Linked DNA regions of Lonchura striata. The protein of the gene in region 1 purifies or fractionates together with the protein of each later gene. This does not show direct contact. Links are inferred from orthologs where the notes say so. Each region holds a gene or a part of one and is shown in the gene's direction. Other genes may lie near its edges. The genes, in order: PRMT8, HNRNPU and EWSR1.

Evidence for each region.
Region 2: the proteins of PRMT8 (region 1) and HNRNPU purify together in Homo sapiens (affinity purification with mass spectrometry; 3 studies listed by BioGRID and IntAct, counting the BioPlex papers as one, with this or other methods). This does not show direct contact. The link is inferred for Lonchura striata from reciprocal best matches to the Homo sapiens genes PRMT8 and HNRNPU.
Region 3: the proteins of PRMT8 (region 1) and EWSR1 purify together in Homo sapiens (affinity purification with mass spectrometry; 3 studies listed by BioGRID and IntAct, counting the BioPlex papers as one, with this or other methods). This does not show direct contact. The link is inferred for Lonchura striata from reciprocal best matches to the Homo sapiens genes PRMT8 and EWSR1.

What each region holds. Positions count from the first base shown.
Region 1 is NC_134604.1:30,643,165-30,646,907, forward strand, and holds the start of PRMT8 (protein arginine N-methyltransferase 8), read left to right. Parts: upstream 1-1,189; 5' UTR 1,190-1,211; coding exon 1,212-1,259; intron 1,260-1,858; coding exon 1,859-2,002; intron 2,003-2,618; exon of another isoform or gene 2,619-2,815; intron 2,816-3,743. UniProt on the Homo sapiens protein: S-adenosyl-L-methionine-dependent and membrane-associated arginine methyltransferase that can both catalyze the formation of omega-N monomethylarginine (MMA) and asymmetrical dimethylarginine (aDMA) in proteins such as NIFK, myelin basic protein, histone H4, H2A and H2A/H2B dimer.
Region 2 is NC_134605.1:31,754,389-31,758,131, reverse strand, and holds the start of HNRNPU (heterogeneous nuclear ribonucleoprotein U), read left to right. Parts: upstream 1-889; 5' UTR 890-1,127; coding exon 1,128-1,860; intron 1,861-2,675; coding exon 2,676-2,787; intron 2,788-2,907; coding exon 2,908-2,981; intron 2,982-3,743. UniProt on the Homo sapiens protein: DNA- and RNA-binding protein involved in several cellular processes such as nuclear chromatin organization, telomere-length regulation, transcription, mRNA alternative splicing and stability, Xist-mediated transcriptional silencing and mitotic cell progression.
Region 3 is NC_134620.1:3,037,948-3,041,690, reverse strand, and holds the start of EWSR1 (RNA-binding protein EWS), read left to right. Parts: upstream 1-1,208; 5' UTR 1,209-1,256; coding exon 1,257-1,269; intron 1,270-3,743. UniProt on the Homo sapiens protein: Binds to ssRNA containing the consensus sequence 5'-AGGUAA-3'. Might normally function as a transcriptional repressor. EWS-fusion-proteins (EFPS) may play a role in the tumorigenic process.

The sequences.
Region 1 (3,743 bases):
ACCACCTCATCCCCATGGGGCAGAAGAATAATTTTGATCTCTACTCTCTAATTCATATACTCTATTTCCAGTCCCCCACCCCCAGGAATATTTCTGCCTCCCGAGTGCCCAGGGACCTCCTGGGTTTTGGCAGTACTTCAAGGTATGTCAGTATTCCAGAGGTCAGATGAGGATAAACTCTAATTGAAAGGTATTAAAATAGTCTGCAAGAGACAAAAATTCAAAACCCCAAATCTATCAAAATTTTTTACTGATGAAGCATCTGGGCTGGCCATGTCCTTAAAATATGCATCAAAAGTAATCTTTCAAACCTCTTCTTCAGGTCTCCATTGGCACCCCCAGAGGAAATAATTTCAAACTGTTCAGAGAGCAGCAATCCTGTTCTGGTCCTTGAAATCCTTCGAGCAACACACACCCACACAGCAGCATTATTTTCTCACCTCCTCCGTATAAAAACAAAACAGAAACGTGAGAACAGTGGGCTGGAGATGGAGCTGCGGAAAGTGAAGTTGGAAGGATTAATTATGTAATACGCCCCCTCTCCCGCCCTTACCCGCAGCAACACGAGTGAGGTAAACCCAATCCTCCCAGCTGACAACTCAGAACTAGAAAGTGCCCGGAGGAGTGAAAGCAAAATAAACGTGTGGGGAAGGTGGCGATGCACTCCTACAGAGGAAGATGTCATTAGGAAAAGGCTAAAAACAAGTTCAAATCACCTTTAGCCTCTTCCCTCCCCTCCCCAGCAAGACCTCTCCCTCCGCCTCTTCCCCTCTCCTCCCCCCAGCTCCTCCTCCCCCCTTTTCAGCAGGAGCTGCAGCCGGATCGGGACTATATCCCTACAGTTCACGGCTCTCTGACGGAGCGTGGATCCTCCTGAAAAACTTCAAGTAAAACAGGAGCTGGGAGAACACACACACGAAGATATATTAAGAAAGCAGGTTTGCTACTTAACTCGGAGGAAAGAAGCTGGAGCAGACTTCTTCGGTTGCTCTCTAAGAGCCTTGCCGAGAGTCCTTGCAAAGAAAAGTGTTGCTGATTCAAAAGAAGAGGAGGGATGGGGAAGAGAAAAAAAAAATTGTGCATGTCTGTGTGAGAGAGAGACAACGTGTGTGTGCGTACGTGTGAATGCGTGCTTGTGTGTGAGAGGGTGTAGGCGACGGGTGGGGGGAGCTTGAAATTATGTATTTTTTTTCCCTACGAAAGACACGTGAATGCAATTCCCAGTGAGGGGCACCAAGCTCTGCCCAAGAGCAGAAGGGGTAGGGAGAGGGAAAGGGAGAAGAGAAGGAAGGGAAGGGGAGAGGGGGGGAGGAGGGAGGGAGAAGGAGGAGGAGAAGGGATTTCTATTTCAGAAGACATTCATAGAAAGAGGGTGGCAAATTCTGTGACCGTCTTTAAAGGAAGTGTCCTGGGACATAGAGAGAAAGAAAGAAGCCCAAAGAAGGAAAATAAAGGGCTATGATTTCCTTGTCCTGTTGCTTTGTCTCTGGCTCCCTCTGCCTCTGGAAGAGTAGCCACAGGACACAAAGATGCCCAGCTGGTCACTGCACGCCCAAGTTCAGTTTAGCTGGTGCTTCTCTCCTGTTTAGCCTGACTGCTTTCTCTGAAGGGGAGGACTCATAGCCCGACAGCCTTTTAGTTTAACCTGAAGAGTGTGTGCCGCCTCTCTCTGCCCACCCCAAGAACTCGCTGGAGGTGGAGGAGAGGGGAGAAAGAGGAGGACTTGAAAGTGCCTGAGGAGCTCCCGATGCTAAGAGGAGACAAACATTCCTGTGGACGACGAAGAAAGGACAAAGCTGACTGATTTATTGCTGTTTTCCATATTTTTTTTTTCTCCCTGTCCTTTGGCGCACACCAGTGTTTGGAGATCTTTGAAAACACAAACCAAAACACCAGCCCCGAAGCCCCAACCCCTTGGCTAGCTCTTATGGGAATGAAACACTCCTCCCGCTGCCTGCTCCTAAGGAGGAAAATGGCGGAGAACGCTGCCGACAGCACCGAGGTGAGTAAGGATGCGAGCCGGAGCCGGCGCCGCGCTCCCCCAGAGCCGAGCTCTGATCCCTCGGCAGAAGCAGCGGGAAGTGCAGAACAACTTTCCCGGCCCCTCCGGCCAGCTCCTGCCTGCCGTGCTGCTATGGTTTCCTGCATTCGCCCCCCCTCTCCCCCCGATCCCTCCGTTCCCCGTGGGCAGAGAAGTTTGCCCGCGCCGAGCCCTCCAGGCGCTCGGGGCTGCTCCGCGGCCGCTTCCCGGGAAGTTGCGCGGCCGCGCGGCGCGGAGGCTCCGCGGGGCTGGGGGCAGCGGGGACGGGCGGCGGCGGTTCGGGTGTTGGGCGCGCCGAAAGGGACGGACCGTCCCTTGCGGCAGCACCTTGGCCAGCTCCCCGCGCTTTCCGCCGGCAGCCTTGGCCGGGATCGTTCGGGGCCACTTTAGGAGCATCCGCGTCTCTGCAGCATCCTGGATATTACCAGAGCGGAGCTGCCCGAGGTGGGGGCTGTCCGGCTGGCCTGGGCAGTGCCGAAAATAGCTCTGCACTGCCTTCAGGCCGGGAGGGTAGCCTGCGAGGTCTCAGGTTTTCTGCAAGAAATCCACCCCCCACCGCCGCTCCCCCACCCGTTACCTTCCGCTTCCTCAACACTGGGGTTGAGCAGCCCCTGTTTACTTGTCTGGGGCTGTCTTGACCTCACTGAGACTTCTCGGGGGATACAGCAGTGTGCGAAGTCTCAGGTCTGGAAAAGCAGAAGGATGCAGGATGCAGTCCCAGCATCTCTGCGAGCATGTGAGAAGGAGACAGGCGAAAGTGCGAGCGTGTGCCAAACTCCCTGTTTCTATTTATAGGCTGTGCCTAGCACTCTGACTGAACACTTAACACATGCTTAAGCAAGATGCAGCACAGACCTGTACAGACCCCATGGACGTGCACCCCAAGCAACTTTACAGCTTTGCCTTGCAGGGACAGCACTGAACCTTCTCTCCAGTTACCCTGCAGAGGGAATAAAGAGCAAAACCTATTGTGAACACATGACTATTTCATTCTTTCTTTTTTCCACATCTCTGCCCAATGTCTCCTTCTCTCAGTTATTCCTCCCAGTAGGTGTCCTGCTCGCTCATGAATTCCATCCACATTTCTCTTCACAATAGTGTTCTCTCTGCTTGACCTTCATGAATATGCCTCCTTTGCCATGCCAGGTGAAGAGCCAAATTTTCTTAAATGAATGTGATGTAAGCACTAAATCAAAGAACATGCCTGCTACTGCGCTACAACCCCATAGAGTACTGCTTGCAGAAGAGGCATCTATAAATAGAAAGAAGTCTGGCTGCACATCTGTAAACTGTTGTAGACCTGACAGCACATATTGCATTATAGGTCCCAGGATCCCAGGACAGGATTGCAACAAAAAATGTACAAGCACAGACAGCTCCTTTTAAAGCTGTTTTTGTCTATGGAAATTGTTTTTAGACAGGGAAAATAGGTGAAAAGAGCTCTTTAAATATTCCTCTTCTATTTCATTCACTCTTAGCACATTTTTGTTGTTTAATCATGTTTTCCTGCTTGTGCAATGCTGCACAAACTGCAATGTTATTTTATGGAGAAGGTCTTTTTTAACAAAAACAGATTTATTCCAATGTTGCATACAGGTTAGGAGGATATTAACATGCTGTGCTTCATCTCCTCAGAGTATCCATCAGTGACAGACTTGTGAAATGAGAGTGAAAATATTGCAGATTAGGCATATCCTGCTCC
Region 2 (3,743 bases), on another chromosome or scaffold:
GGAGGCCACGCAATCTGTACCAACACAAGGCAAATTCGTGGTAAACACACTCCCTTTTGTTGCTCTTCATACTGATCCTCTGGTGATTTGACTTGTATTCCTTTTCCTGCAATTGAAAATTAGCTTTTTATCCGGGTTCCCTAAGGAAGCCGACTTGCAGATCCGTGCTACCATTCTGTTTGTATGAAATCCTCTCCACTCTTTGTTTTCATGTTACTTTTGAGCGAATTGGAAAAATCCAAAATTAAACGACTGTACAACGTGAGCGGCTGTGGAGAGCCCCATATGAACGCTGTGCAGAGGGAGAGGCAGGGGGGAGAAAAGAGGGAAAGCTGCGCAGTTTTGGTGAGCAGATTAGCCCTGTGCCGAGCTCCAGATTAGTTCATGCCTTTGTTACCGCCGGCTCCGGTCACGGCTCAGCCCCGCGCCTGCCTCCCGGTGCTGCGGGCACGGGGTAGCCCCGCTCCTGCCCTTATGTAACTGCTGTAGCAGGCCTGTGCCAGGGGAACTATTTGGAGCAGCAGTGTCCCTTTTTAAAGCCTGTAAGCAATAAACCGTGCGAGACTAGGCCCGACCAGGGCGCAGGGGAGCCAGCGGAATCGGGACAAGGCTCTGCGAGGCTGTGGCTGGAACGCGGGCCCCTCGTGGGGGGCATTTCGGTCGGGCTGTGGCCTCACGCGGGCGGGAGCCGGCACGGGGGTGGTTCTCAGCCCGGAGCGGGTTCATCGTGCCGGAGCGGTGTTACAGCCGATCCGCCACCGCCAAGGGACCCGCCGGGACAAGGGCGGCGGGGCATGCAGCGCTCGGGCGGTATTTACGGTAATGCGGTCGTTACGGTAGCGCGGGAGGGCCTACGTGCGCGGGGGCGGGACGGCGCGCGCGGCGCCGGTGCGTGCGCGGCCCCGTGAGGCGCGTCTCCCTCGCGAGCTCGCGGTGAAAGGATTTGGCGCCAGGCGGGTCCGGCTCCGCAGCTCCCGCAGCCGCACGAACCCCCCGCGCCTCCCGCCCGCACCCACCGCCCGCCGGGGCACCGACACACCGCAGGCAGAGCCAGAGCCGCCCGTCTGTCCCTGCTCGCCGCCGCCCGCGCGCCGCCCAGGGACCGAGCCGCCACTGCTGCCGCCGCCATGAGCTGCTCTCCCGTGAACGTAAAGAAGCTGAAGGTGTCGGAGCTGAAAGAGGAGCTGAAAAAGCGGCGCCTCTCCGACAAGGGCCTCAAGGCTGAGCTCATGGAGCGGCTCCAGGCCGCGCTAGATCAGGAGGAGGCCGGCGGGGGCGGCCCCGCCAGCGGCGCGGCCGAGCCCGGCAACGGCAGCGTGGAGGGGGAGGCGGCCGAGAGCGGCGGGGGCGCCGCGCAGCTCCGCCAGGGGGGGGGCCCCGGCCAGGCCGCGGCCTCCGCCATGGAGGACGACGACGAGGAAGGGCTGGAGGCCGCCGATGGCGACGCCATGGAGTTGGGCGAGGAGAACGGCGAGCGGGCAGGGGCCGGGGGCGGCCCCATGGAGGAGGAGGCGGGCGGCGAGGAGGAGGAGGAAGAGGAGGAGGATGATGAGAACGGCGACGACCAGGGTTTTCAAGAGGGGGAGGACGAGTTGGCCGACGAGGAGGAGGCCGCGGCCGGGGACGCCAACGGCCACGGTGACCAGCAGCCGCCGCAGCCCCAGCAGCCGCAGCAGCCCCCTCCGCTCCTCCCGCCGCGCGGCGCCGCTGCCGCCAAGGAGGCTCCCGGCAAGAGCGCTGGGGGCGCCTCGGGGCCCGCCGCTGCCTCTGGCCCGGCGGGCCCCGCCAAGCAGCAGCAGCAGCAGAAGAAAGCGGAAGGCGGCGGCGGAGGCGGCCGCCCCGGGGCGCAGGGCGTCGGGGGTGAGTGAGCGAGGCGGCGGGAAGCGGGGTGGGGGCCATTAATCCCATCCCCCCGCCATGACGGGGGTTGTTGGGCCGGGGGGGGTTGGGGGCGGCGGTTTCCGGGGCGCGCGCGGGAGGACGTTGGCGGCCCCGCGCCTCGTGCTGGCCCGGCGGGGGAGGGGCGGGGAGGAGGGGCGGCGGAGGGGCCGCTGGGGCGCGCTGTGCATTGTGCGCCCGCAGCGCGGGGCGCCTGACGTCACTTCCGGGCTGGGCGCCGCCGCCGCTCGGGATGGCGCTGGGAAGGCCTGGCGGTACAATGGAGGCGGGAGGAGGAATCCCTTCCCTGGGGCTGCCGCCCGCGGCCCGCCGGGAGGAGGCGCAGTCGTGCGGATCGCACGGTGCCCTTGCGAGAGGCTGGCAGTGACCCGCTGCCTCCGTGGTGGGCGGGTGGTGATGGTGTTGCGGGTCTGGAGGCGCGGTGGCTCAGGAGATTTTTTTGGTTTTTTTTAATCATTTTGGTGGGGATTTCTTTTTTTTTTTTTTTTTTTCGGGGCTGTTTCAATGGGGCTCATAACATTGAGGGCCGTACTCGCTGCTGTGTGGTGTATTGGCGACTTCCGTATGCTAAATAATTTCTGATTGGCGACAAGTTTTGAGTCTTCCCGTGAAAATTCAACATACAGGGCTTTACCTTAGTAACATAGTAAAATGCCCTTTTAAGATGTTACTGCTTATCTTATGCTGTAGCTTGCTGCAGCTTGCAAAGTTGAAGCCATGATATAGATTCTAATCCAAATTAAACTAATCAAAATAAATCATTGCTTCTGTTCTAGGAGATGGTAAAACAGAGCAAAAGCCTGGTGAGAAGAAGAGGGGAGTGAAGAGACCACGTGAAGACCATGGCCGGGGATACTTTGAATACATTGAGGAAAACAAGTACAGCAGGTAAACAGAATTGGTACTGGGCACATTTTGTGATGAGGAGGCATAGAGTACAGAAATGTTATTTTAGCTTAGTGAAAATACGTGTAACTTATTCTGTTTTGTTTGGTTTTGTTTTTTCAGGGCCAAGTCTCCTCAACCACCTGTTGAAGAAGAAGATGAACATTTTGATGACACAGTGGTTTGTCTTGATACTTGTGAGTAAACATGCTTTCCTTTACCCTGGAAAGATGTGGTGTTGAGGCTTTTACTCTTAATGCCACGCTTTCTGAGACGGGGAGGATAACATTTGTTGATTTTCATTACCAGGTAACTTTTTTAAAAAAATTAGAAAAATACTCTGTTTCCACCCATTTTCAGCAAAGAAAACAACAGAAGGACCTGAGTATGTTAGCAGTAATAAACTTGGTTTTCTTTCAATTCTGTAGTGATAGACAGTTCTGTGAAGAAATCTTAACCAAAACACTAATCTGGTATGGAAGTTTAGGTGAGTAAGTGTAGAGTGCACATAGAACACTCTGGAGACAGGTTGATGAAACAGCTGTCCAGCACTGTTGCCCAGAAAGCTCAGAGAGTAGCATAAGTGTTTACAAAGCACAGTTTGGGAAGTGAGCTTCCTGCATACATTCCCTTATTTAGATACTGACTAGTGGAGTGTTTCTTCTGTCTTCTGATCAATTTAACAAAATCTAGTAATGCTTCCTCAGAAATGAGCCATTCATGTAACGTGTGAATGTGTGGCTTTGCGTGGTGGTTTGTGCAAGTGGGATGGCAGAGAGACTTAGTCTACAGAGCATATAAATGGAGAACTATCTGCAAACAGGGTTGTTTTTGAGGCAGATTATAAACATTATTACTGTAACATTATTATGGCAGAGTTGACATTTGTATTCTTGAGGGTAAGTATAAGGACTCAGTGCAATATTAGAAAACTTGATCTTGAAGTAATGCTTGAACTC
Region 3 (3,743 bases), on another chromosome or scaffold:
GATCCTTGGGATGGGATGGGATGGGATCCATGGGATGGGATCTGTGGGATGGGATCTATGGGATGGGATGGGATTCCTGGGATAAGATGTGACCCATGGGATGGAATGGGATGGGATGGGATGGGATGGGATCCATGGGATGGGATCCATGGGATGGGATAGGATCTATGGGATGGGATCAATGGGATGGAATGGGATGGGATGGGATATGATCTATGAGATCCATGGGGTGAGACCTATGGGATGGGATGGATTGGGATGGGATGGAATGGGATGGGATAGGATCTAGGGGATGGGATCCATGGGATCCATGGGGTGGGATGGGATCCATGAGATGGGACGGGATGGGATCCTTGGGATGGGATTGGATGGGATGGGATGGGATTGGATGGGATGGGATGGGATCCATGGGATGGAATGGAGTTCAGGGACACCCAGGGGACACATGGCTGTGCCATGGGACACCCACCCGCGATGTGACACCAATCCATGCAACATCAGCCCCGGGACACCCACCCGCATCCCACCACCCATGGGACACCCAGCTGTGCCACCACAGCCCGGGTCACCCCCAGTACACGCAGGACACGCGGTACCCCCTCATGTCCTCATGGGACATGATGACGTCATGCAGCGATGACACGCGGTGACGTCACTCTGCCACGCTCGCCACGTGGGCAGCGTGCAATGCCAACCACAGCACGGGCACCCCAACGAGCACCCGCCCTGCCACTTCTCGGCACCTGGCGAGGTCGCACACAGCCCGTGGCGCCAGCCGCCGGCCGGTGACACCGAGTGACCGACCTCACGGCCAGGAGGCGCCGCCAGGCCCCCCCCGCGGCACGGCGCGTGACGTCACGGCAGCCCCGCCACGCCGCAATGACATCACTACGCCGGCCGTGACGTCACGCCCCCGCCGCGCTCCCCGCTCCGCCTCGCGGCCCGAGCGCCTCTTGCGCGACGGTCCCTAACGGCCGCGGGCCGTACCATCCCTCCGCCCGGCGGGGGGGGGAAGCGCGCAGCGAGGCGGCGGAGCCGCAAACCGGAGCGGCGGCCGCTGCCGGCGGGGCCGTCCCGGTTCCCCGCGGACGGCAGCAGCGGCGGGCGGGCGGCGGAGCGGGGCGGGCCGAGCCCCCGGGGCGCGATCTGCCGGCGGCGCCCCCCGGGCGCGGGGTGGTGCGCGCGGCGGGGCCGGGCGGCGCATGCGCGGCGCGGGGCGGGGCCGGGCGGGCAGCGCGGAGGAGGAAGGCGAGAAAATGGCGTCGACGGGTGAGCGGGGCCGGGGCGGGCCGGGCCCGGGGCGGGCGGCGGGGCGGGACGGGACCCCCGGCAGCGCCGCCGCCCCCGCCGCGGAGCGGCCGGAGGGGCGCTGGGACGGCGCCGCCGGCCCGCGGCGCCGCGCCCGGGGGGCCGCTGGGGTCGGGCCGTGCAGGGCCCGTCCCGCCCGTGTCCCAGCGGTCCGCCCGCCCGGGCCGCGCCGGGGCCGCGGGTGTTTCCCCTCAGTGTCCGCTGCGGCTCTTGCGGCCGCTCGGTGCCGCCGGATCGCCGGGGCCCCGCGCTCGCAGCAGCCGAGGCCGAGCGGGGCTCGCTCCGGCCCTGCCGGGCGGCTCTGGCTGCGATGCGGGACGGCGGAGCGCCGCGGGTGGGAAGGGAGCCGGAGCCATCCCGGGGGCAGCGACACCTCCCGCTGCCCCTGCGGGCTCCCAGCCCGGCCCGCGGCACCGCCGGGCACGGAGCATCCTCTGGGATCTCCGCTCCAGCACCTCCCAGCCAGGAATTCCTGCCCAAAGTCCCATCCAGCTCTCCCCTCTGGCAGTGGGAGCCATTCCCTGTGTCCTGTCCCTCCATCCCTTGTCCCCAGCCCCTCTCCAGCTCTCCTGGAGCTCCTTTATGCCCTGGAAGGGGCTTTGAGCTCTCCCTGGAGCCTTCTCCTCTGCCAACTTTTCCCCACAGGGAGATAAGATGTTCCACCATCTCCATGGCTCCACATTTTTCTGAATGAAACGTTTTTCCACGAGGGCTCCAGCTGGATACAAATAGTTGGAGACTGAGACTCTCCAGCTCAGTACACCTTAAAGTACTTTAAATCCCAGCAGGATTTGACTCCCTTTAAAAGAAATGAGGATTTTCCTTTTTTCCAGCAAGGAAAATCTCCCAGGCCATGGAGTGTGAGGGAATATCACCAACAGCACCTTGGGGAGCTTGAAAAAGAAAAGTCAGTAAAGGAACATCTGCCAGTGGAATTGTCAGGATGGGGGTTAAAACCACAGCTGTGTTTTCCCTTAATTCATGGAATTGTTCCTCCTGGGAGCTGCTATTTTCAGCCTCTGGTGTGCTTCTGAGCCTTGTGAAATAAAAGGAAGAAGATTAATTTCCCCCTGGAAATAAAAGCCAGGAGATGGGTTTAACTAAATGAACCATAATATTATTTTTTATTAATGTTCCATGTTCCTCTAAATCCCAGCAAATTAAAAGAGAGGCATCACCACAGGCAAACTGCAAATTCCACACCTGGAATTAAATCCTGCAGAGGGGAAAATGTTGGGTTTAGGTGGGACTGGGGGAGGGCTGTGAGGAGAGGGGTTAATTGATACCCCTGCGTGGAGCTCGAGGCCAAAATGGGCTAAAAACAAATTAAATGAGGTTTTGGTGGCTGGAGGGTGAGCAGGGAAAAAAGTGGAGTGGTAGGGAAAGGGAAGCTGGATGAGGGGGACCAGGCATTAATTAACACTCAGGATTTAGCAGAACCACATGTAAAGTGAATGAAAAAAAAAAACAAACAAACCCAGAACCCTGAACTGAACAAGGAAAATGTTCCAGTATCCCACTTGCCAACCTGAGAGGGAAGTGGGAATGCTGCCAGGGGAGTTTAACAACTTGTGCCTTGTGTCCTGGGAGCAGGGAAAGCTTTGGAGAACTCCAAGTGTCTTCTTTCCCCGTGTGAGGTGTTCTGGGCAAGGTCAAAGGAATGGACAACTGCCAAGGATTCCTGCTGGGATCCCTGTTCCTGCCTCCAGCAGGGATCCAGGGGCTCTGCTCCTGCCCAGGGAGCAGGAGGAGAAGCTGGGAGCACCCCTGGAGGCTGGGCAGGAAGGGTTTAGTAGGGATGGATGCACAGGCTGGGGAACAGGAGGTTGTGCTGGATGGAAGCTGTGTTTTCCAAGTGATTCCTGGGGCTCCATGCCTTGGGAATTGTGGGATAATGGCATTAAAGCCAGGCAAAATTTGCTTCCTCAAGTTCTCCAGTGCAGGAGTTGAGCATGATCCGTGTGGGTCTCTCCCACTTGGGGATATTCCATGATTCTTGGGAGAAACTTGGATTTCTGGCCAAGGTGTGATGGTGATGGGAGCAGTGGAAACTCTTCCCGCACAGGGATGGTTGGGAGCAGCTCCACTGATGCAGCTTCTGGCTGTGGCCTCCACCAGGAGGTTCTGGGCTCATTCCTGATCTCCTGAGCACCTTCTGTGCTCCTGGCAGAGCTGGGGTCTCTGGCCAGGTCTGCTGGGAATGATGAATTCATCCGTGCTCCGGACCTTGGGTTGGGAGCTGGAGCTGTTGCTGCCTCTGAGGGAACTGGGAGCTGCAGTCCTTTCAAATTTAGCCTCCTAATTGCCATGTGGATTCATTTTCCATCCCTGCCAGCAAATCACTTCAGCACAGGCTTTGCTGCTGGGGTTTTCAGGATTTTGGTTCTCCTCCCAGTCAGTTGCTGACTTGGATTGAGGATCTGTGGAGGGAATCA